Drosophila melanogaster: one gene and its partners. The protein of the gene in region 1 purifies or fractionates together with the protein of each later gene. This does not show direct contact. Each region holds a gene or a part of one and is shown in the gene's direction. Other genes may lie near its edges. The genes, in order: Gapdh2, Mp20, Yp2 and CG16826.

Region 1 (5,930 bases):
TGTAATAAACATACATACAAACATACATATTTAAATGAAAAAACTGAAGATTACTAACATTAATTTATAATTTGTGTCATAGCCGTCAACTCAGCGTTATATCTAGAATAAATAATAAAGAAAATTGTGTTAAGCAAATGCTACATACATATATCATTTAATGTACGTGTGCACATATGTACATGCCGAAAACATTAATTAAGAGTTTGGTCTGTCAGGATTAACGGGTTAATAAAACTGGCATGCTAATAGTCATACATTTATATGCAATCAAATTAAATTTTTTTTCAATCAAACCACCCGCTCATTTTCTATCAACTTTAGCCTGCCACATTGTAGTCGCAATTAGTTTGCAGTTCGGGGATTCATAACGAAACTATTGCCGAATGTGGTACTAATATGATATCTTTTATATAAAAGCTTGATATATTAAAATGAACTTGATATGCAAACAATCGGTATTAATTGTAGTTAATTTCCAACAGTCATAATTGTGATATCTTTGACCAGATCCAGAGATATATCTTCTGATATAGTACGCATAGAAAGGCGAACTATCCTTCTTTATATAGAGAAATAAACATAGATAGCCTACTTCAGCTCGTGACGTCAAGAAGCTTCTATCTGTAATGGGGTTTCTAGGTTAGGAAGTCATCCTGGGATGTTAGCATAAAAGGCAATAACCCCACAAACTCGAAGGACAGTAAGACTTCCACAACATTGGCAGGTGTTTTATTCACTTTCAGGGATACTTTTCTAATCGGATCCTTTTTTTCGGTAATGTATAAATCTAGAAGTCATCTTTCAATGGATCTTAATGGTAAGATGTAAGCATTGTTTTTGACTTTGCTGCAATAATTTAGCACCAAGCTGAAATACATTTATCGTTTCAACAATATAAAGATGAGAGGTTAAAAAACAAGTGAAATGTTTGCTTATCAGTAAAACCGATGACTCACTGAAAAGGAACGAACTTTTTTGCCCAGCCCAAGTATTAATAAATAAACATGACGCACTAAAATATTTAATACTTATTCGAGAAATAATTTATAAAATGTAAAAGATAAGGCAACAGAAATGTTGAGTTCTTGTCAAATTGCATATTTCAACATTTTAATGTTGGCGCGCTTATTTGAATTTTCACTGCTATGTTCATAATTAAGGGTTGCACTGAAAACAAATCGATAAATATATAAAAAGAATGAAAAGAATAAAAAGAATGTTAAATGATTACAATATCGATTATTCAGTTTGGGGAAGGAGAAATGATTAATTTGCAGATACCTTTTTTTTTACTACAAATGATTGTATGAATAAAATACTCCCAAATTAATTGATTTTGATTATATATCGTTCGTATACATATGTTTTAATATTTATATAAACGGGATCTGCTGATTTTAAGAACATATGTATATACATGTTTATATATAATAAAAAAAGGTAAATGAATTCTGCGTGACTCAAAAGGTCACATTCACTTAGTTTTCATCATAAAGTTATACAATTTCGTTGTTATGGGTACATGGAATTTTGTGACTAACACTATTTATTACCATTAGCGTTTAAAATTCATGAAATTTGGATGCCTACTTGAGCTGTCAGGTGTTTTTCATTTTAACAATGGGATGACAACAGCACAATTGCTTAAATGAAATCATCAAAACGGATAATTTAATTACTTAGACAATTATTTCATCTAATATTGTAGTTATGCATAGAAGATATATACATATTTACATGTATATGTATCTTTGTACATATGTACATGTATTGTACAGATTAATGTCACGTACCGGCGAAACTTCAATTTGCTCAGAATATGACCTCTAAATTTTAATATTAATGAAATTGATGAATATGTATTTATGTGGGGATGTTAGGATTTTTCCATTTGCATTTACTTATGTACATATTTATGTACAATATAACCAATTGATGTTCATCAGACGTGCTCATATATGTGTATGTTTCGTGTGCCTATATATGCACGTATGTAATTGCCGGCAACTAAGCTCACAAGAAAGCTCAACTTCCGTCAACAAAATTGAGCAGGTGAAATGGCCATAAAAATATCCCAATAAACATTTGTCCGTATAAATTAAAAAATCCATATACTTTATAGGTCACTTTAACTGTCTAAGATCAGAAGTTTTTAAAGTTAAGCGTATCTTATGTACATATCTACTTATTATATTCATATAATGATGCTTGCAAAAAGTCTATTGGGTAGCATTGAGCTTTCACGTTACTGAGAGCAAAAGCTCTTTTTTATTGCGGTAGCCGCTCTCGAGCTTGACATGCACGTCCTTCATCTGACTTTGAACAATTTTTCGCCCGAGTTTTCGCCCATAGAAAGCGCTCAAAATTTCTCAGCCATCACAGTCGATTCCTTGCAAGCAAGCCGATAGGTAGTGTTTCCCTCAATTCCGCGGAAAACTTTCCAAGTACTAACTGCTTTACATATACATACATTACTTTCCAGATAAACAAAAAGTTAACCATGTCGAAGATTGGTATCAATGGATTTGGTCGCATCGGCCGCTTGGTTCTCCGCGCCGCCATTGATAAGGGCGCCAACGTTGTGGCCGTCAACGATCCCTTCATCGATGTGAACTACATGGTCTACCTGTTCAAGTTCGATTCGACCCACGGACGTTTTAAGGGCACCGTTGCCGCCGAGGGCGGTTTCCTGGTGGTCAACGGCCAGAAGATCACCGTCTTCAGCGAACGCGACCCGGCCAACATCAACTGGGCCAGCGCTGGTGCCGAATACATCGTGGAGTCCACTGGCGTGTTCACCACCATCGACAAGGCATCCACTCACTTGAAGGGCGGTGCCAAGAAGGTTATCATCTCGGCCCCATCCGCCGATGCTCCCATGTTCGTTTGCGGCGTCAACTTGGATGCCTACAAGCCCGACATGAAGGTGGTCTCCAACGCATCGTGCACCACCAACTGCTTGGCTCCTCTGGCCAAGGTGATCAACGACAACTTCGAGATCGTCGAGGGTCTGATGACCACCGTTCATGCCACCACCGCTACCCAGAAGACCGTCGATGGACCTTCCGGCAAGTTGTGGCGTGATGGACGTGGCGCTGCCCAGAACATCATTCCAGCTTCCACTGGAGCTGCCAAGGCCGTGGGCAAGGTTATCCCCGCCCTCAACGGTAAGCTCACCGGAATGGCATTCCGTGTGCCCACTCCCAACGTTTCCGTGGTCGATTTGACCGTGCGCTTGGGCAAGGGTGCGTCCTATGATGAAATTAAGGCCAAGGTTCAGGAGGCCGCCAACGGACCCCTGAAGGGTATCCTGGGATACACCGATGAGGAGGTCGTTTCTACCGATTTCCTCAGCGACACCCACTCGTCGGTGTTCGATGCCAAGGCTGGCATTTCGCTAAACGACAAGTTCGTGAAGCTGATCTCTTGGTACGACAACGAGTTTGGCTACTCCAACCGCGTCATCGACCTGATCAAGTACATGCAGAGCAAGGATTAAATGTGGAACACCAAGAACACTACCCACCCACACTCTACGTAAAAGTTAAAGATTAGGGCGCGGTAGAATGGGGTGAGACACTTCAGAAACGGCCTGAAAATGGCATCACATAACTTATATATATATTGCTCCCCGGTGGAGCATCACCTACATACATATGCGCTATGCTCTGAAATGCTACTGTTTTCGCTCTTCAATTACCAGCCACATTGGAAAATTATTAATATAATACATCCATTATACACATAAATATGTTTACTGTTGTTGAATAAAGTTTCACTCTGTGTGTAGTTTTAAAAATGCCGACTCATAAGCATTTAAATATTTATTTTTGCCTTTTTATTTGGTATAAACCGTTGAAATACCTAAAATAGTATGAGTATTACTTTAAATTGTTTTTTTCATTTGCTATATTTGGAAGTAATATATATATAACAGAAATGTGTCGATATTTTTTTTAAGTCGATTGGTTTTTGAATGATTACATAACTTGTTAAAGTTTTCAAATAATTTTAAATGAGCCTGATTCTATGGTATTGTTATCGGCAAAAATCGGGCTTTTACAGATTTCGATAAGAGCGACCTTAAACCCTTCAGTTGAAGCAATGTATAAACAGAAGTTATCGATATTTGGAGAGACTAACGGTGGCATATTGTCTGTGTAAGCCTGGCTTTTTGGATACATTTCTGAGAAAATAATGTTTCTCTGCCGATTTATATTTGCATAATTGGCAAATATAATCAAATATTTTGGTTGACTGCATCATTTCAACAGCACTTCACCATTATATCGTTATCGATATTTAATCGCTTGCTATACCGTCTTTTCGATTAATTTTCTCACACGGGCACACTAATTTTCAGAACATTTTAATACTGGCATGTAAATAAAATAATCAATTGATGAAACCTTAAAATAAAATGTGAATTATTCAACATGCAGTAGCAACAAACGGACACAAATCAGCATAAGAGTTCAAGACTTCTGGTTCTTGATGAATGTAAATGAAAGTTACCGAGTGAAAACGCCATAACTTGTGTAAAACTGACGGGGCGAACAAAGAGTATGTTTTCCGAGCGAATTTAACGATTGTGCAGTGTGTGTGTGGTACACATTTTCCCCAACGAAATATAATGAAACATAAGTGCATCGGGTAAAATCATCTCGAGTTCACATCTTACGTATGTGCGTAGTGAACATAAATCTGTATACATATTGGTATATACATATGTATGTATGTTGGAGATATACGTGCGGACGCTTTAATAATTAATATTTATAAACGGTGGCTAAACATTTCGAATATCTTTGTTAACATTATACCGTAACTTGTAATGTTTTTCAATGCAAATTGTACACATGTATAGAAATTTTAATAGATGTTCAGTTGCACATGTGCAACAGTGCGTTTCTCTATACATATGCTCATCTATTTTTGTGCATGTAATTTTAACATTTCAATGTTGTTCATGAATGAGTTTTGGAAAATATAGTCCAATTTAAATAGCGGTTAAAAATGCTGGAAAAAGTCTTGTAAGAATGTGTATTTGGCTGCAGATGTGAACTGTTTATACATACATATACATATGTACATATGGCACTGTCGTATTGGCAACTTCGTGTGTACATAAGAGTATATATGTGTGTATGTATTTTGTGGATTTAAGAGAAACGAAATATTAGAATGTAAAGTGCTTGCTTTTAATGGTTTCAAAAATGTAACAGTGGAAGTTTGTAAAAAGATTCATAATATTTCTACTTTTGCTTAACAAATTCCCTTCAAATGCAAAGCAAATGCTTGCTGTTACAGCTTTAAAATGTGATTTTCTTATTTTTCTAAGTGGGAATGTCCCATTTAGTTTCAAATATATACATACATATGTGGGTCAATGTAGCACCTACTCAAAAATCTATGTATGTACATAATATAATGGTCCCACTTTTCGTTGTTTATTTTGTCGATATGTTGCCATGTATGCGTGCATGTGTGTGCTAATTTATATCTTTTAAAACAATATCTTCCAGATAAACAACATTATTTAGGCTCGAAACAAATTTTTCAAGGCTAAACTTTCCTGCAAACATGAATAACTTTTGGGGGCTCTAGGATTTTAAGCTGGCCAATCGGTTGGCTTCTTATCAAAAACAGTAAACAATTGGATCTCGAAGACTGAATGCAATAGCACAGGTTTGTACTGGTTATTTAAATAAGGTATATGAAAAACTAAAATTAACAAGAGATTCTCTCCAAAAACATTAAAAATGCATGTCCTGCGAGTTTTTTACATGTGAGGGGGCGGAAAAGGCGTGGCCACAACTTGAAACAACTGTTAACTTTTGTTTTTCGATAACATAACATTAAAATGTTAGCAGCAACAAGATTAACATTGATGTTTATAGGAAACCTATTGTTTTTTTTTTTAGCTA
Region 2 (6,707 bases), on another chromosome or scaffold:
GGTGTAGGCGGCGCCACCCGGGGGGGCTTACGTCTCAGGATTTTACGTTTGGGTAAATAATATTGGGCGTAAGCCAAACAGAATAGAAACAGCTAATAAATAAAAAGTTCAAAAGATTCCGCATCGCAATCATTGCTGAATCAAGTTTGGAACAAAAGTATAAACAAAATTCAAATGAATTGTAAAATAGTCTAGAGACTGCACACCTTTTTTTAAGGTATACAATTTAAGCGCTAGGACTTTTTTGATTTTTTGATAAAATCCTTTTTCTATACTATTTTTAATAAGAACTTATATTTTTATTAGCAACAAAGTAATGTGTGTGGAGTCAATAAATAAATTTGTGAAAAGGTGTCAGTTATTGTTTGGCTTATATTATAAGATTTAGATTTAGAGAAGCCGATAATTGGCAAAAGGGGAAAAATTTTAAATACAAAACAAATAATTCCTCCAACATTGTGCTACGAATGTTCTTTGAGCGACAAAGTGAAAATGTTGAGATTTATTTAATTGCTTTTGTCGCAAGGAGCCGAAAAATGTCTACAGAAATTATGAGAAACTTATAAATAACTAGTGGATGCCATGACCGCGGCGAATCGAGTGTTTATTTTCGTTAACAAAATGACGACATTGGGCATGATTTTCCAATTAAATGCTGAGCTTAAATAAATAATGCGTCTATTTATAGACGGCCAACTCACTGGCAATGGGGCACGAGTTGCCAGTATCTGTATTCGAATCAATGTTCTTCGTTTTGTGTTTGTTTATAAATGAAATTGCAGTCTGCAAACTGAAACGCTTGACTCAATTTCCGTTTCCGCCCAGCTTCACTGTAAGCCAGCGGAAGCGGCACAAATGCCAGCAAGTGGTTGCTGGATGGCCCAAGGGCTAGCCGGATCCTTTGGAGCCATTGGATCCATTGGATCCCTTTGGTGCCTTTACTCCCCAACGACCTAATTTTCGCTTGACTTCATTTCGGATATGCGTTGCCATTTTGTGACCATTGTGTGCTGGCCATTTTGCGGAGCATAGGCCGTCGGCCTGGTTGTGGATTTTTTTATGCTGATTTATGGGAAAATAATCCCGGCTAACTTAGCGCCTGCAAAATGGTTCTCCTCCGCCAGGATGTTTGCACACTCGAATCTAATTTTCCTGGCCAAACACATACACAATGCTCTGCTCTGTGCAATTTTGGCACAAACGTTGATGAGGATGTCGTCTGATGAGGATGCATGAGGGACCCCCAGGGTTCGGATAATCATTTAATCAGCCATTTGTTTGAATTGCAATCCAAGGGAGACGATAGTAATAGTACTTTCCAAAACCATCGGGTGTGTGCCATCGCGTAATTGAATTTGATTCTTTCACTTGACGAGCCACACCCCTCAGCAAATGCAATTACAATAATTTAATTGCCGTGAAAAATGGCCGCCCGGCTGCGGGGCATTAATTAAATTTTTGCGAAGACAATAGTCAAAACCCAGCCTGCGGCGCATTTAATTCACTTAAATGGCAACCAATGCGGTTTACTTCAATTCGCCGCGTATTTGTTAATTAAAATAAAAATGTAAGAAAGAAAACGCTCCGTCGAAGTGCCGCGGGCCAAGGAGGCGGTAAAAATAAACGAACACGCCATCTGTTTTTCTCCGCCGTGGGAAAAACAAGAAAAGCCTGGAAAATCTCAACTATTTCGGCTCGGCTCCACCTGTTCGGCGTCGAGAATTTAGAAATAGTCGCGCTACCCATAGCACAAATTCGTCGCGCCTTTTACGTGTATCTCGTAGATTTTCCGACTGTTATCGAAATTGTATCTGCTCTAGCAAAAGATTTTCCCCCATCCCGAAATAGATGTCGCTGTGCGATTTGTTTGTTTGGCTTTCCCCCCCGAAATACTCTAATAAAATATTAATTTTTGTGGGGGGGCACGAACTTTGACAGTTCCCAGTCGCCTTGACTGGTCGCCTCTTCACTTTATTGCCCTCTCGTTAATTTTGAAGGCATGTTTTGCTGATGGCTGTCCTCGAACAAAGTGCTTTTCAATAACACAAGGCACATAATTCAAGTTAATTTCCCGCTCATAAAGTAATCGCTGTCCTTTTTACTTTTTAAAGCTTGCAAATTGCTCCGTCTTTTCCTGGAGACATTATTTATATCCATTATCAGATTATAAATACATTGTATGAATATTTCAATAATATTTATAAAAATTTAAAACATTAGTATGATAGTAGTATGATGAAATTATTTCGAATATTCTCTTAATAAACTAATTGGCATGTTCTAAATTGTGAATATTGCAAAGGATGCTCCTCACATTTTGTAAATCTCTGTAAATTCTGAAGGACGTGTCTTTGGAAGATTTGATTATCAAATATATTTGAAATACCAATTAAATCCAATTTGAAAAACATTTTCAGTAAAAATTAATAAGTACATGTCATTTTTGTAAACTTTTTATGCAGAAAGTCCTTTTAACAAGAAATTGCCATGTCGCTGATCTGATCTGATAACTGTGAATAATTGTGAGGATGTCCATGTCATCATAAATTTCGCTGTAAATTCTGGAGGATGTGTCGCTCGATGGGAACCAATTTGCTGCCATTTTTAATTATGACCCAATGCATGCCGATGGAAATTACGGGCAACGAATGCACGCGCCCGAAATGAGTTCAAAATGACAGCAGGACAGCAAGTCCGAAAAAATGCGGCTAACATGCAAATGAGCAGTACTTTGAAGAGCACAATCTACACACACTCGCACACACACACACACACACATACCATCGATTGGAAATGTGTGAAAATAATGAAGCATTTGGATTTTTCCTTTTTCTCAACCGATGATGATCTAAAATTATAACGCACGATTCATACGCGGGAGACGGGCAAAGTCGGCGTTTCGAATATATAGAACGCCCACGCTGCAAAATTTTCACACACTCGACTCCGAATTCGGATATATTTTTGGAAAATTCTTGAACGAATTCGTCGGAGAACGCTCTCTCGCGCTTTAAAAGCCGCATACGCCCCGTTGGCTGGCATCAGTGTTAGCTTGTCAGAGCTTTAGTGAAGATCCCGCAGGACCCGAAACCAAAAACCAAGAATCAAACATGTCTCTTGAGCGTGCCGTTCGTGCCAAGGTGAATACTCAATCAGTGAAGAAAAAAGATCCTTAAGAAAACATAGATATAAAGGAAAATAGATGAAAGAAATGTGAAATTACCAAACAGTTTTGTGAAATATTGTGCCTAAAATATGAATTTTTTCTTATCCGATCCACCTAGATTGCCAGCAAGCGCAATCCCGAGATGGACAAGGAGGCCCAGGAGTGGATCGAGGCCATCATTGCCGAGAAGTTCCCCGCCGGCCAGTCCTACGAGGATGTGCTCAAGGACGGTCAGGTGCTGTGCAAACTGATCAACGTGCTGTCGCCCAATGCCGTGCCCAAGGTCAACTCCTCGGGCGGCCAGTTCAAGTTCATGGAGAACATCAACAACTTCCAGAAGGCCCTGAAGGAGTACGGTGTGCCCGACATCGATGTCTTCCAGACCGTCGATCTGTACGAGAAGAAGGATATTGCCAACGTTACCAACACCATCTTCGCTTTGGGCCGTGCCGTAAGTTTCAAATCGCCTTCTATCCCATTGTCAGCCAGGCTAATCCTTGAATTGCGGCTCATTGCAGACCTACAAGCATGCCGACTTCAAGGGTCCCTTCCTGGGCCCCAAGCCCGCCGATGAGTGCAAGCGCGATTTCACCGAAGAGCAGCTGAAGGCTGGCCAGACCATTGTGGGTCTGCAGGCCGGTTCCAACAAGGGAGCCACCCAGGCTGGCCAGAACCTCGGCGCTGGCCGCAAGATCCTGCTCGGCAAGTAAGCGCCAAAGGATGGCCAGGATGTCCACACCCTTTTCTACACTTATGCTAAGTGAACACACCCATATATATTTTGTATGATGAAAAACATGAAGAACACAATGATATTCCTCACCAAAGCAAAACTCAACACCAATGAACACACACTCACACAAAACAACACATAAAAGCAACGCAAAGGCTTGTCGCCTTATATTAAGTATACGCCTAAGTTAATCTATTTATGAGTACAATAAAGTAATTCAAAGAACCCAGTTTTCCACTTTCCGATCACCTCTATAACCTTGAGCTCTCTACGTTCTTGCTGCTGTTGTTTGTGTGGGTGTACAGACTTTATTTATCTGCCTATGGTGCGTTCTAAAAATGAATTTCATACCTATAGCCATATAGCTGAATATATATATATACTATATATGCATCATCGTATCAACGTTATAAAGCAAACATAAACACACTCTGTTGAGTGTGTGCGATGTGTGAAACATTCCATCGAAGCGTGTCGAGGTCAGAACATCAGCGTTGGGCAGAGTTATTATCAAGATGGGCATCTCGACACTGACTTTTACATATATTTTATATGTAGCGAAAGGAATTTCCCCCAAACTCACCTGTCCGAGGCGTGAAATTGTTCCCACGAAAGAACACACACAACATTATGTATTGCAGGTGCAACTATGCTGGTGCCAAAAATGAAAAAAACCAGACATCTCTCGCGAATATTTCACGCCTTCAGCTGGCACTTTTCTAATTTCTCGATTTATTATAGTTTGTCAGTGGGTGGAATTGATCTCTGTTGGCTTATTATGCTGAAAGCAAAGAGCAGGAATGGAAGAATCTGGAAATATTTTGTATTAATTGTATGTTAGATCTATTGAAAAAATATGTCTTAGAACGCAGAATATATTCAGCATGGATTTGTTATTAGTTTTAAATGACGCAGTCTGCAAATGAAATATTTTCCTCATTCGTTTTGGCTAATTGAAGTGTACTCAGGTCGTGTGTACAATATTTTAGACTCAAATAGTGCTCAGAAAGGATGATTAAGAATAAAGCGTGCCAATTTCCGAATCGGTATATTTAGAATTTTGAAAATTTCCAACAATTGGTTGCTAGAAATATTAATGAGAACAACCAAACGGTATTTCCCCTTGGTTTTGTTGTTTTCTTCAACATATATATATGGATGGAATAAATAAAAGCAGGCAAATAAATAACAAACTTGACACTGAAAATGTGGGGGATATATATATATATATACATATATATTAATAATGGTTCATTAAGAGATTTTCTCTACCGTTTCAGGGTTATTATTGATGCATAAGCTTACGACTAGGAAGTCTTGAATTTTCCATTGTTTATAGCATTAATAAACGACAAATATTATATTATTTTTGTGGAAAAATGTATTTGGTTGAAAAGTGGTAATAGCCCTATTAAATAATCGAGCTCTTTTTTCGAGGTGACATCAAACTTTGCAGCTGATTGGTAAGTGATTTTAGGGTTTCCCGGAGACTCGAGACCATTTTCTCCTTTTCACGAACATAGGCGACAGTTCGATCGTAGTCATACATCAATGCGGGCATAGCCAGGATACCACCCTGGCATGTCAAATCTCTCATCCGGCGCCTAATAGCCTTGTGCTCCAGTTTTCGGCGACACAGCTCGGATTTTAGTTTATTTTTCAACTTGTGCTTTTCCAGCAGGTTATCTTTAAGAACGTGAATTTTGTTCTTAAGCTCGTGGGACTTCTCTCGATTGTGCTTAGTCATATGCAGTTCGGTGTGGTAGAGCCTGCGCTGTCTTTTTAATTCAATATTTCGCTCTGATGGAGATGATTATTATGCATATAATAATGAACAAATTTTAAGCAGAGATGTTCATAGGACTATACCTTCAATCTTCTTTTCTAGGCCGATCGTTTTGTTTTGCACGGAAATAAAGTCATTCAAGCTCACACCGTCGCAAACCGTTTCTACATCTCTTATTTTCTAAATGGAGATGTTTCAGAAAAGTATGTTGATACAAGTAAAACAATCAAATTAGAAAACATATGAAAAATTGGAAAACAATATTGGTGATAGTAAATATAATGAAAAACTACATGGCTGGATAGTGGGAAGCAATGTGTTGTAAAATATTGTGAATAACTTAATAGCATTATGTGACAATTTGAATGAGCATAACCGGCGGATAACATGGTTGCTAACATAGCATATAACATGTCGGATAACATAGCATGTAACATGAGTTGGCAGACAACACGGCGATTAACATATAATGTAATATGACGGATAACATGGCGAATAACATGAAGGACAACACGGCTGATAAAATGGCGGACAACATGGCGGATAATATAGCATGTAACATAGCATATAAAATGGCGAATGACATTACAAAAAATACGGAGGATAACATGGCGGACAACATGGCGGAAAATCTCTCAACAACGCGTTCAACATCGTGGACAACTTTTTGGACAACATCCTGGATACCTACTTCTAAGATGCGGGCCAAGGTGTGTTTCTGCGACATGAGCAACAGCCGGGCATCGCTAATTTGATTCCGATGGTCGGCCATAAGTCGGAGTTCGCGGGCAACCAGGCGCTTGAGGAAATCGGTCTCGGCGTCCGGACGAACCAGGATGCGTTTTAACGTCTGCTCGAGATGATGCTCCGTGCTGAGAACGATGTTCATGGCGTTGGCGAGGTCCAAAAACGCAGTGGTCATTAGAATGCCATATTTCTCCCTTACCCTGATGAGGCGCTCTTGACCATAGGACAGATAGGTCAGGGCGTGATCAAGGCGACGGGAGTAGGTTGACTCGGCG
Region 3 (6,417 bases), 5.8 Mb from region 1:
AATAGGTGGAAGTTTAAATAAGCAAAAGTCTCTCGCCTAAGCCCTGATCCTAAACTCTTGGCTGTATTTCTAATTGTTATCGCTTCATGTTGAGGTTTATTGTTATAACGCCAGCCTCCCATGAGCAATACTCCCCCCAAATTACCGTAAACAAATTATTTTCTAATCTGAGCCCAAGCCATAAGTGGAGAAGATTAGACCTCAACACCACAAAAACACCGACAACAATAAAATAAATCTAAGTTTACAAAACCAAACTACGATATTTACTTTTGATTTTGTTCCCTTTTTTTTGGGATGATCTATTAGACTATTATAGTTCCTAAATGATTTAAGATAAACAAAATAGATATTTTTAAGCTCTTTATCGAGCGTTTATTTGCTGAATTTCGCGATGTGCTCGTTAAATGTTTAGGTAATCTCAAGAAAAGGGCCAATATGGGTTCAACTTAGGGACTACAGTGTTTGTGTGGTTGGGTGGTTGTTTGTTGTTTGGTAGTTGCCATTCCAGGTGTCCAGAGTAAGCAGACTCATCCTTACTGGTAGTCCTTGCTGTCCTGGTTGGTGTTCCACGCCTGGTGGACACCGTGGTAGCTGCTCTGCTTCTGGGCGGGTGCGTTGCGGCCGAAAGGAGACTTGGGGTTCACCTGCAGAATGTAGTCACCCTCGAGATCGTGAGCGGTATCGATGCCCATGTAGGCACGCTTGCCGAATCCATCGTTCTGCTTGTACTGCTGCAGGGAGTTGGCTGGCACGGCGGGGAAGCTCCTCTCGTTTCCGGGACGCACGGACTCGGCGAAGTAGCGGGTGGCACGCATGGCGGCCTCCACCACGTTGCTGGCTCCGGGAACACCGGCGGCAGGTCCATTGGGATAGAAGTCAACATCACCGGAGCGGATGGGGGTGCCCATGCCGTAGACCGAGGTGTGGATGGCGTCAACGAATTCAGCATCACCGCGAGCCAGACCGGTCAGGGTGTTCTTGCTCTTGGCCACGATCTTGGAGGGATCCAGACCGGTGACACGGCGCAGCTTGTGTCCGGTGAGACGGGTGAATTCCTGGGCAGCGGCACCGGCAACATGGGCACCCACATTCTGGCCAATCAGGTGAATGGTATCGAAGGGCATGTCCAACTCGTTGACCATCTGGACGATCCACTTGCCGATCTTGGCGCCGGTCTTCTCAATGTCGAGCATGGCATAACGCTCATAGGTGTTCAGCTTGGAGCCCAAATCGATCACAATGATGTCGCCGCTTTGGGTCTTGGCGTTCTTAACCTCCTCGCTGTAGTCCTCCTCGCTGCTGGTCCTCTGGTTCTTCCTCTGTTCGTTGCTCTGATCCTGGTAGTCCTGGTTGCCGTTCTTGCCGTGCTGGCGCTGCTGCTGCAGATTGTAGCGCTGCATGTAAGCCTGAACCAGCTTCCTGGTCGCCTTCTTCACGGTCTCGCTGGTCTGGGGCAGTCCGGTCACAATGATGGTCACCTCATCCTCACCAAAGTTCTGCTTCTGCTTCAGGCGCTGGATCATCTCGTTCAGGGGAGCAACGGTCTTGTCACCATTGGGCTTGGGCACATAGACCTGGATGCCGCTGGGCACATAGTTGGGCTCAACGTTGTGGTGGATCTGCGACAGGTGGTCTACAAAGGATATATATATTCCATAGAATATTCGATGTTTTTTTTTTTTTTTTTTATCTGCATCTAGGATTACTCACAGACTTGCTGCAGCAGCTCGGCGCCACGCTCCAGGTTCATGTTCTCCAGACGCTCAATGGTGAAATCGTCGAGGGCGGGAATGGCCTCCAGCTGGGATCCGGAGAGCCACTGCGACGGCTTCAATGCCTGGTTGACGGAGTTGTCCATACGGCCATTGGGCTTGGCCAAGGCGGCGACCGCCAAGCAAGCCAGAAGGCTCAGCACTCTCATGGGGTTCATGGTTCGGATTTGGGATTTGGTCCTGCGGATGCGACTTCAACACTGAGTGAGTTGAACTGGCCTTCCAAATCCAACGATGGTGGTTTATATACCACAATTTGCGCTGAGCGATTTCCCATTTTCTGACTCGCTTTTCGCTGGCTCAGGCCTTAATCGGTCACTTGTGCTGAGTAAGGGTTTTCGGGTGCCTGGGAATCGGATGAGTGTATATGCTATCGATAGCGGAATAAATTGTATACATACAAAATAGACACGGGGCCTACCTATAGCTGACCCCACTGATGACTTAGCAGCACCTGCTGCCGCCTGATTATTTTAATTTGTAATCACTTTGTAGGCTCCGCTGATTGCAACATTGTAGTTGTGCACCGGATTTGATCAAATAAATGCATAAAATATAGATCTAACATGGGCATTAGTTGGTTATTATATACAACATTTTATTGATTTTTTTTGTTTATAAGTAGATTTATATTTGGCACTTTTCTTCTGCTTAATTAAAAGTCCATAATTTTGCATTTTCAATTCAAGGCCGATACAGTTCATTGATTCCTAGATGTTTGCCATTGATACGAAAAGTATGGAATGTTTGTAGTTTCCAAGGCAAGATAGTAAGATTATATTTGTTTTTGGACTTTAGAAATGAATTGATTCAGGGGAACGTTTTTCAAGGAGATTCTATTTTAATATCCGGGATTCGTTTTATAATATATGATCTTATCGATGCTATTTCATGTAACTCATTCTACTTATTAAAAATATATGTATATTTCGATAGATGTAAATATTTATATTTATAATATTATAATTTATAATATATTTATTTTGCATTTCCCTGAAAGTGCTATCTGCTTATAGAACAATTTAGACAATTCTTTTGGCAAACACTTAAATAGTTGCATAAATTTCACAAAATTGCCAAATATTTTTTTCAAACAAAAGCTTTATCTTGACCTGTGCATGAGTTCAAGTCGTGCCCCCACTGTCAAGCCCCTTAATGGCCAGACCACCTTTTGTTTATGTTATGAAAGTGCTGGTTAAAGAAGTTTCCCATTACCTGTTACCCGATGGATACTTAATAACCAAAAAAAAAAAAAAAAAAGGGGAACGAAATTTTAGAGCTCATCAGAAGTGTTGCAAAATCACTGACGCTGCGAATCAATGCATTTGTGCTGATCCAGAAATCGGTTGCTGAAATCAATTGCTTCCGGCGCGTGCATTATAGTGTGTATAGACTACCGATTCCAAGGGGTATAAAATGCATTGAGTCGCAGCAGTGGGTATGCAGTACAATTTGGTACGGTGTCTGAAAAAGTCGAACTTGGAAGCCACAATGAATCCTCTGCGCACCCTTTGCGTTATGGCCTGCCTTCTGGCGGTCGCCATGGGTAATCCCCAATCTGGTAACCGTTCCGGTCGCCGATCCAACTCCCTGGACAATGTGGAGCAGCCCAGCAACTGGGTCAATCCACGTGAAGTCGAGGAGCTGCCCAACCTGAAGGAGGTTACCCTTAAGAAGCTGCAGGAGATGAGCCTGGAGGAGGGCGCTACGCTGTTGGACAAGCTCTGTAAGTTCAAGGATCTCTAAAAGTTCTACCAATCATGTTATATTTACACGCACTATCCTATCCCGCAGACCATCTGTCCCAGTTCAACCATGTCTTCAAGCCCGATTACACCCCGGAACCCAGCCAGATCAGGGGCTACATTGTCGGCGAGCGCGGCCAGAAGATCGAGTTCAACCTGAACACTTTGGTGGAGAAGGTTAAGCGCCAGCAGAAGTTCGGCGACGATGAGGTCACCATCTTCATCCAGGGCCTGCCCGAGACCAACACCCAAGTGCAGAAGGCTACCAGGAAGCTGGTGCAGGCCTACCAGCAGCGTTACAACCTCCAGCCCTATGAGACCACCGACTACTCCAACGAGGAGCAGAGCCAGAGGAGTTCCAGCGAGGAGCAGCAAACGCAGCGCAGGAAGCAGAACGGTGAACAGGATGATACCAAGACCGGAGACCTGATTGTGATTCAGCTGGGCAATGCCATCGAGGACTTTGAGCAGTACGCCACCCTGAACATTGAGCGTCTGGGCGAGATCATTGGCAACCGTCTGGTTGAGCTGACCAACACCGTGAACGTGCCCCAAGAGATTATCCATCTGATTGGCTCTGGACCCGCTGCCCACGTTGCCGGAGTGGCTGGACGCCAGTTCACCCGTCAGACCGGACACAAGTTGCGCCGCATCACCGCCCTGGACCCCACTAAGATCTACGGCAAGCCCGAGGAGAGGCTGACCGGACTGGCCCGTGGTGATGCTGACTTCGTTGATGCCATCCACACCTCCGCCTACGGCATGGGTACCAGCCAGCGATTGGCCAACGTGGACTTCTTCCCCAACGGACCCTCGACCGGAGTGCCCGGAGCCGATAATGTCGTTGAGGCCACCATGCGTGCCACCCGCTACTTCGCCGAGTCCGTGCGTCCTGGAAACGAGAGGAACTTCCCCTCCGTGGCCGCCAGCTCGTACCAGGAGTACAAGCAGAACAAGGGCTATGGCAAGCGCGGCTACATGGGCATCGCTACCGATTTCGATCTGCAGGGCGATTACATTCTGCAGGTGAACTCGAAGAGCCCCTTCGGCAGGAGCACTCCCGCCCAGAAACAGACCGGCTACCACCAGGTCCACCAGCCCTGGCGCCAGTCCTCCTCCAACCAGGGTTCCCGCCGTCAGTAGATCATCGCACAGTGATCCATCGATGACAACCAGATCGCACACCCCTCATGCGAGCGAACCACTCCAGCCCATCCTCATCCAGCAGAACCCTCTGCCAGTTGCATCCACTACGATTAGTTAGCTTTGTTTTTTTAACTCACAATAAAAAACGTTTGCATTTTTAAACATTCTAAAGAGTTCAGTTCAATATCAGAAAAAAACCCCAGTTCAATTTACAATAAAAACAATTGCTTATGTCGAAATATTTGAGAGTTCTAAATGCTCATTATATAAAAATATCCAAAACCAAATTATGCAATGCCACTGAGGTCATAAAAGAAGCACACAACAAACATTTGGATTACATGATATGTTTATTTGATAAAGAAAGCATATTATCCATTATGATATATAGCGTACACACACGCACAACCACATATATAGATATGGCGCTATATATATGGGACGATGAACTACGGACAATATTTCTTGCTTACTACTGTATTGGCAGGCGCAAAAAAATTGGGTTGAGATATCACTAAGCTTAAATAAGAATAATTAACGTAGAATTTCAACTTGCTTCACTCATATTCATCGTCTCGATTTCAACAACCTCATCAGAACTAATCACAAATTGGAAAAATCATATACAACACGGGGTGCAATGGGAATGGATGGTCTTTTTATCGATGCGAATGGGTCTCCAGATGAGATGGGTTAATGGATTTAGAGGCTTATTTAGAGCTGTGTTTTTGTTTTTGTTTTTTTTTTTTGATTTGTTTGTCTATCAGTCTAATCGCGGCAGGGCTGATCCGAGGGCGACCAGGTGCACATGCCGCCGACGCCGTCGTAGGTTAGTCCCTTGGGACAGGTGTACTCCCATCCAACGATTCCACCGGTCTCCTCGAATCGGGCGCAGGATATAAACTTCCTGCAGTTGAGGGGATGCGGAAAATTTCCCTGTGCCCGGCACTCAATGATGCCATGACCATGAACGATCACCTTGGGATCGTTTTTGGTCGGAAGAATACTGCCACTGCGACGCCGTTGGGCGACCTGACTGTGAACCACCGGGAATCCCTCGTCCAGAAATTGACTACTTGACGTGGCTGAGATTACGGCAGTCTTGGCCGGCGGACGACTGTAGACCTCGATGTATTTGTGCGGACGACGACGACTCTGCTGGCGACGGGAGAGAGGAGGAGCCGAGTGTCCAGCCGACGTGGTCGATCTCAAAGTTGAACCGGATGTGGTTGTAGTGGGGGGCGTTGATGTGGTCGATTGCGGCCGACGAGGACGTGGGATCAATTGACGGCCTGCAGTAACAAGTTAAAACCAGTCAAATACAAACAACAATGCAATGGTTATACACTTACGGATTCCCTGGCCAATAACTGGTAGTGGTGCATTGGCAGTGGTGCTAACTGTGGTGCTGGTGCTCTTCAGTGGCTGCGCTGGCAATGCCAAGTCATATTCCTCTCGTGGACGCACCTGCTCTGGTATCTGGTTGAAGCGGCTCGTGTGAATGCTCGACTTGGCCACCTGATCCTCGTCGTCGTCGTTCAAATACAGAGTGGTGGTGGTTTCCAGGCCCGAAACTGGTGGGTTGGTGGTGCGGGCGGACGGCGGAGTGGTGGATATAAGGGTGAGGCGGCGCTTGAACAGTGGGTTCTGAGTTCTGGGCACCTCGGTGGCTAAAGGGAAAACATAATAAGAATATGAAATATGAAATTTAAAAAAAAAATTAAGAAAATTCATGGCTTAATATTTTGATA
Region 4 (5,611 bases), on another chromosome or scaffold:
AGGATTTAGCCAAACGGCCCTCATCATGGTCGCCTGCATATGCAAAATAATGCGCTCGAAAATTTTCCACTCGTTGCACTCACTTAGAGCAATGGTATTTTAGGAAAATATGCAAGTGCACTCAGTGCTTTTATGTATTTCATTCTGATTTTCATGAAAAGTTATATTTATTGTGCTCTGTAAGTAAAGCAAGTGCACGGAATTGGGAAAATAATATATATTTCCGGACAGTCTGAAGAAAATATTGATATATTTAAACTATAAAAAATACCTGTGGGAAGATTGTTCGGATTATTTTAATCTCATATGTGCAAAAACGAATTAACGAACTTTTATCATCCACTTTTCGCTGAAACTGCAATACATTCTGCAGGCCCCTAAAGCTCGATGGCCATCATTAATGCAGCCATTATTTCCCATATTTTTTATTTTTTATTTATATTTCTCCTTATCGTAGGCAGGCCTGAAAGGGGGGCCAAGTTAATTTCAGAGCACACTTTACGTGCTGCAATTTGGAGCGTTTCAGTTGCATTCGGACCCGGGCCAGCAGCACATTTGGTAAGCAATAAATTGACCCGCCAGCCGACGCCATCATCTACTTTAAAAGCATTTGTTGCCACACCGCCACCACCCAGAACCTGTGGCCGCGCCCCCAATCAGCAGCACTTGGAGCCATCCGCCGCCCTGTGACCTCCTCCAATCCCCTCCAGCAGTTGCCAGAGCGCCGTACTCGAAGCGGCGACGACGCTAAAAAGATACCGGAAATGTTACAGGAAACAAAATGACTTAATGGCCGCGATTGCAACGGCATGGAATCGTTTCAGGCATCCTCCTGATCCTGGTCCTTTTCCATTTTCCTTCATGCTCCTTGGTCCATAGCCTGCTGGCATTCATGGAGGTTGCCGAGGTCAGCAGAAAAGCATAAAGGAAAGGTTATGGCACGGCCATGTGCTGAATGGATACCCTTCTTCAGATCGTCTTTGTTTACAAACATATTTTATATCAATAAGTCATAGTTATTATTTTTAAAAAATAATAAAAAGTTAAGCACTCTTTTAAGTGCTCAAAGAATAGCTATTAAAAAAGGTACTAAGTTTAATAAAATACTTATCACGTGTAAGACAAATATATTCTATTAAGGTCAAGTGATATTTGTGATGTAATCCCACTTACATAAACTTTTTTGAGCTAGCATTTAAGCTCATGCTTCTCGAATTCCCCACATGAATTGCTTTTCTTAAATGGACCAGACTCTCCCACTCCACACCTGATGTCCTCTAAATGGAGCCGATGATGAGCGTGATCCGCCAAAGGCAAGTTACTGCCCATACGACCCGACCCGACCTCTTTCTTTAAACAGGTAATTGCAATTGCGACATCATTATCATATGCTAAACGGAACTGATTGCTATTGAAACGGTTTTGAGGTTTGAATTTCTTTTGAGCTGAAACATATTTCTAATTAAATTAATTAAGCGAAGCGAGAATATGGCAAGTATGCAAGCCAATTAGTGGAAAACGCAAAATTAAATGTCTGTGCATTGAGGAGACTGCAGCGGTGTGGAGTGGATGGGTGTAAAAATAGCTGGGAAAAATGGCAACCAGAAGAGTGCGGGATCGCTCCGCCAACCCATTGTCCTTGTCCATGGAGCACTTTGTTGGCCACTCCGGCTATAATTGCGTTGAGACATGTAAGCTTTTGTTTTGCAGTTAGGCGTGTGGCTGTGCGACAAAGTTAATGACAGCATAATTAAACAAAACTAACAGCAGACTAATAAAATGTTCATAGTGCATGTCGCTCAAGGCCTCGGCACATCACCACGCCATCACAACCCCATCACCTCGCCACCCACAATGCCAGCTACTTTCCATATCTCCAAATGTATATACATTTATACAATACATATACCTGGCGAGCATTTCATGTCGTTGTGTGTCAACGTTTGTCAAGCGACAATTAAAGTCATAATAAAGGCATGCTAAAGACAATTATTATGTGCACGTCCTGCCACGCCCCCCAAAAAGAACCACCCAGTTCGTTCGGTTAGTTATGCATAAAGTTCGCCACAAAAGGGTTTAACCTGAGCGTAAACATGCGCTCCTTTGTCTCGCAGGCATATAAATTTCAAAATTAAAGCAGAGTTTAACCTTTGTCCTTGTGCAAATGGCAGGGTGGGTCTATAACCACCTGCCTGCGATTGTGTGAGACCCGCATAAAGAGCCTTCGGTTTTAATGCACGCGAAATTGACTTATTTGATTTATTTTCATAGTTTAAGCCAAGGGCTTTTATTATAAGCATGCTTTAAGTGAGTGGATTTGAGAGGGGATTTTAAGAAAATGCAAGGCAAAAGTTATATTTATATTCGCGTTGTTAATTATTTATTGAGTACTGTATTTTGCGGTGATTAAAAAAATAACGTTGTGTTTGAATAAAGAAAATCATTGTCCTCATAACACTGAGAATGCATAAAATAATTTTTTTTTTAATTGCCCCCAAGTACAGTAAAACAAATGTGCACAGAGCTTTCTTCGAAAAGTTATCCAACCAGCATGCATTCCACTATTCGCTCATTATGGAAAGCGGCTGATTAAATATTAACTAATTTAATAAAATGCCGGCCTGCTTCAATATTGAAATAGTCAGCGAATGTATTTGCCCAAGCGCACGTAGCCGAGATATATAAAAGGTGGTCCAGGGTGCAGAATGATTAGGCTATCCGTTGACCGACGATGCATTCGACCAAGTCAGCCGTTCTCCTGCTCGCCCTGGCCATCAGCGCCAGCTGCGTTGTTGCCACACCGCATCCGGAATTCTTGGATGAAATCTTCGGCTCCATAAACCAAACTGGCCAGCACATCATCAGTGGATTCGTGAATGCCACCAGGAATGGCACGGCCATTGCTGGTGAGTTCCTGGACAGCATAAGGAACTCCTCCGCCCAGTACACGCACGAAACCCTGGAGTTTGCCCAAAAAATCGCAGATGCAGTTCATAGAGCCGCCACTGAGTCAATCGTCGACTTTTCCGCGACTCTGAGGGCGCAGATCGACGCACTGCATCAGGGGATTGATCGGGTGAGAAACATCCTGCAGCGAGAGGCACTTAAGGATGCTCTCGCCAGACTGCAGACCGTCAATACCGTCGTAAATGATCTGGAAGTGGCCGTGAATAACCTCAATGATCGGATAGACGAGAAGAAACAAGAGTATTTCGCCATAATCCAGAAGAAGTGGTACCAATGGTCTGACGCCCAATTGGAACGAGTGGATAAGCTGACGAATGGAGTTGGCAACGAGGAAGCCGAGGAGATCATAAATGAGCTACTCTCCCGGTATTCCGGATATCTGCACAGCTGCCTGGAGGAGTTGCAAGCGCAGCAAGCCACGTTTGAGCAAAATGTCCAAGAGGCCATCGAAAAGTACCACAATGCCACCAACGAACTGACGGACCAAGTCGAGCTCTGCGTCCAGTTCAACCTCAGCTTCCTGTCCTGCCGCAATGGCATCAATGAGGCACTACGCGGACTCGACTCGGCTCCCGCGGAGCTGCTCACCCTGAAGCTTCAAGGCATCCGACTACTGGCCATCGGCCTGAATGCCAGCGGATGTGTGGGCCAGACCCTGGCCGAGCACGAGCTGGAGAAGCCCAGCGTGGAGCGCAAGCTGGATGAGATCATTGCGGAGTACCAGGAGCAGCAGACTTCCACCGATGACGACTCTAGCTCTAATAATGAAACGACCACCATAAGTTCGTAGGATTTCGGGGAGTCATCCAGTAATGAATATGACAACTCCAGCAATGACGACGAATCCTCATGGAAATATTTACAAGAACGTATAGTGTATTTTAGGTGTCGGGTAGAAGCAGCAAAATAAATTACTCTAATGCAACTAAATTAGAAATTGTTTTCCTTCATCGTTTATCAATGATGTTTCTTAATAAACTATGCCAAGCTTCTCAAAATATTTCTTAACTTTGAACAGTACTTTAAAAATTACTCTACCGCAAACGTATTACCCAGATACCGATTAACTTCATCAATGGTGCAGCACATTTTTTGCGGATGCTAAAGCAATTATTTTAAAATTGTCATATTCATTTATTTAGGTAAGGCACGAAAGTCGTGGCAATTTAAAGACACGAGGCTTTAGTAGATTAATTATTTAAATGCATTCGATTCTGCCTTTATATGTAAATTAAATAAGGGTGCTAAATAATATAGAAAAAGGGAAAAAGAAACTAACTTGCACTCTTAGCACCTCCCCTACTAACAAATGATGCAAATGAACTGAGTGAATTCCCCTTAAAGGACTTCCCCAGCTGCTATAAATATAAATAGTTGTATAACAACAGTAACGAAAGGTATAACACTGAATTAACAATCTCAACTGCTATAAAAATGAACTTTTGTGCTTTTGTATAACAGTCAATTGAAGAGGACACGAAGCGCGTAGTACAGCGTTTATAAAGTTTTATGCTGTTATATTTTTCAATGAAAATGTGTTATTTCATATCGAATATAACAGATTTGCTATAATATTCAAATTATGGCTCCGTTCAACTAGCATACATCTGATTCTCATTTATAGCTCATACGCCATGTATACATAACTAACGTACAGCTGGGTAAATTACATTTATAGCTCATACGCCCTGTATAACACGTGTACGATTTCCCCTTTATGACTTTGCGAGGGGGGCACTAAATGAACCACTCGAGAATAAATATTTGCTGAAATAAAACGCAGGCTTTCTATCTTAGTTTGCTTACTTGCAATTTTATTGACTTCATGTGTTTGAATAGATCTCTTTAGTATCTGAATTTGCCTCTTATTACCTAAAGACCACTAAATCTGTTTTTCTGATTTCTGTTTATTATTTACTTAATGATTATACTTTTTGTGCGCTAAGCCAAACAAAAAGTTTACAGATTTCGAAGCATTGGAAATTCGATTCAGTTTCGTGATAATACTAAACTTATCATTTTGCGTTTCTGCCTCATGCACAAGCCAAAAGACAAGGACCTGTAAATATGTCCCAAGCTTTTTCAGCCCACTAACTCATAGACTGAGCGCTTACCTCGGAGGAGTTTCGGCCTTACTAATTGATAATGTTGCACTAACAGTTCGCTGGCAAAATATCGATACATATTCATTGTTTTGCTGCATGCAACGCCTTACTTTCATTCTTGTATACCTTATTGCTTACTCTAAAACACGAAACAATGGCTTAGATTACATATGAATTTCGCATTAGGAATTTACTGAATTTTGTTTAGGAATAATTTTGCATTAGGACTACCAAAATCGGGAAAGCATATTTTCCAAATTAAAGAGAACAACCAAACAGTGATTAGTGATTATAATAATTTCGTAGTTGCTTCTATCTAGCATTGTTTAAGTATTTCTTAAGTCTCTCATCCCTTGTTTCATCGGAAAATATATCAATGAAATATTTGTTTCAAAATTTATATAACTGAAAATATTTCGTAGGACTCAAACATTATGTAGAGGAATTCAAAATATATTTTTTTTGAACAACCAACTTGATTTTCGCTTGAGATCATACAGCTACAATCATGTGTTATTGCTTCGATTCGTAAGTGCGTT

Evidence for each region.
Region 2: the proteins of Gapdh2 (region 1) and Mp20 purify together in Drosophila melanogaster (affinity purification with mass spectrometry, with the first as the bait; one large-scale study listed by BioGRID). This does not show direct contact.
Region 3: the proteins of Gapdh2 (region 1) and Yp2 purify together in Drosophila melanogaster (affinity purification with mass spectrometry, with the first as the bait; one large-scale study listed by BioGRID). This does not show direct contact.
Region 4: the proteins of Gapdh2 (region 1) and CG16826 purify together in Drosophila melanogaster (affinity purification with mass spectrometry, with the first as the bait; one large-scale study listed by BioGRID). This does not show direct contact.

Annotation. Positions count from the first base shown.
Region 1 is NC_004354.4:15,865,833-15,871,762, forward strand, and holds Gapdh2 (glyceraldehyde 3 phosphate dehydrogenase 2), read left to right. Parts: upstream 1-2,312; 5' UTR 2,313-2,411; intron 2,412-2,485; 5' UTR 2,486-2,503; coding exon 2,504-3,502; 3' UTR 3,503-3,829; downstream 3,830-5,930.
Region 2 is NT_033778.4:13,243,633-13,250,339, forward strand, and holds Mp20 (muscle protein 20), read left to right. Parts: upstream 1-3,037; 5' UTR 3,038-3,110; coding exon 3,111-3,140; intron 3,141-3,284; coding exon 3,285-3,617; intron 3,618-3,684; coding exon 3,685-3,872; coding exon of another isoform or gene 3,873-3,876; exon of another isoform or gene 3,877-4,127; intron 4,128-5,179; coding exon 5,180-5,198; 3' UTR 5,199-5,248; downstream 5,249-6,707. Other genes in the region: CG4712 (uncharacterized protein), read right to left, coding at 5,311-5,699, 5,769-5,865, 6,377-6,707.
Region 3 is NC_004354.4:10,049,433-10,055,849, reverse strand, and holds Yp2 (yolk protein 2), read left to right. Parts: upstream 1-3,215; 5' UTR 3,216-3,266; coding exon 3,267-3,501; intron 3,502-3,569; coding exon 3,570-4,663; 3' UTR 4,664-4,899; downstream 4,900-6,417. Other genes in the region: Yp1 (yolk protein 1), read right to left, coding at 537-1,636, 1,714-1,933; Cht6 (chitinase 6), read right to left, coding at 5,435-5,958, 6,019-6,336. UniProt on the Drosophila melanogaster protein: Vitellogenin is the major yolk protein of eggs where it is used as a food source during embryogenesis. Vitellogenins and their receptor yl/yolkless are required for maintenance of microtubule plus-end orientation towards the posterior pole of oocytes.
Region 4 is NT_033779.5:13,345,066-13,350,676, forward strand, and holds CG16826 (uncharacterized protein), read left to right. Parts: upstream 1-2,707; 5' UTR 2,708-2,731; coding exon 2,732-3,757; 3' UTR 3,758-3,955; downstream 3,956-5,611.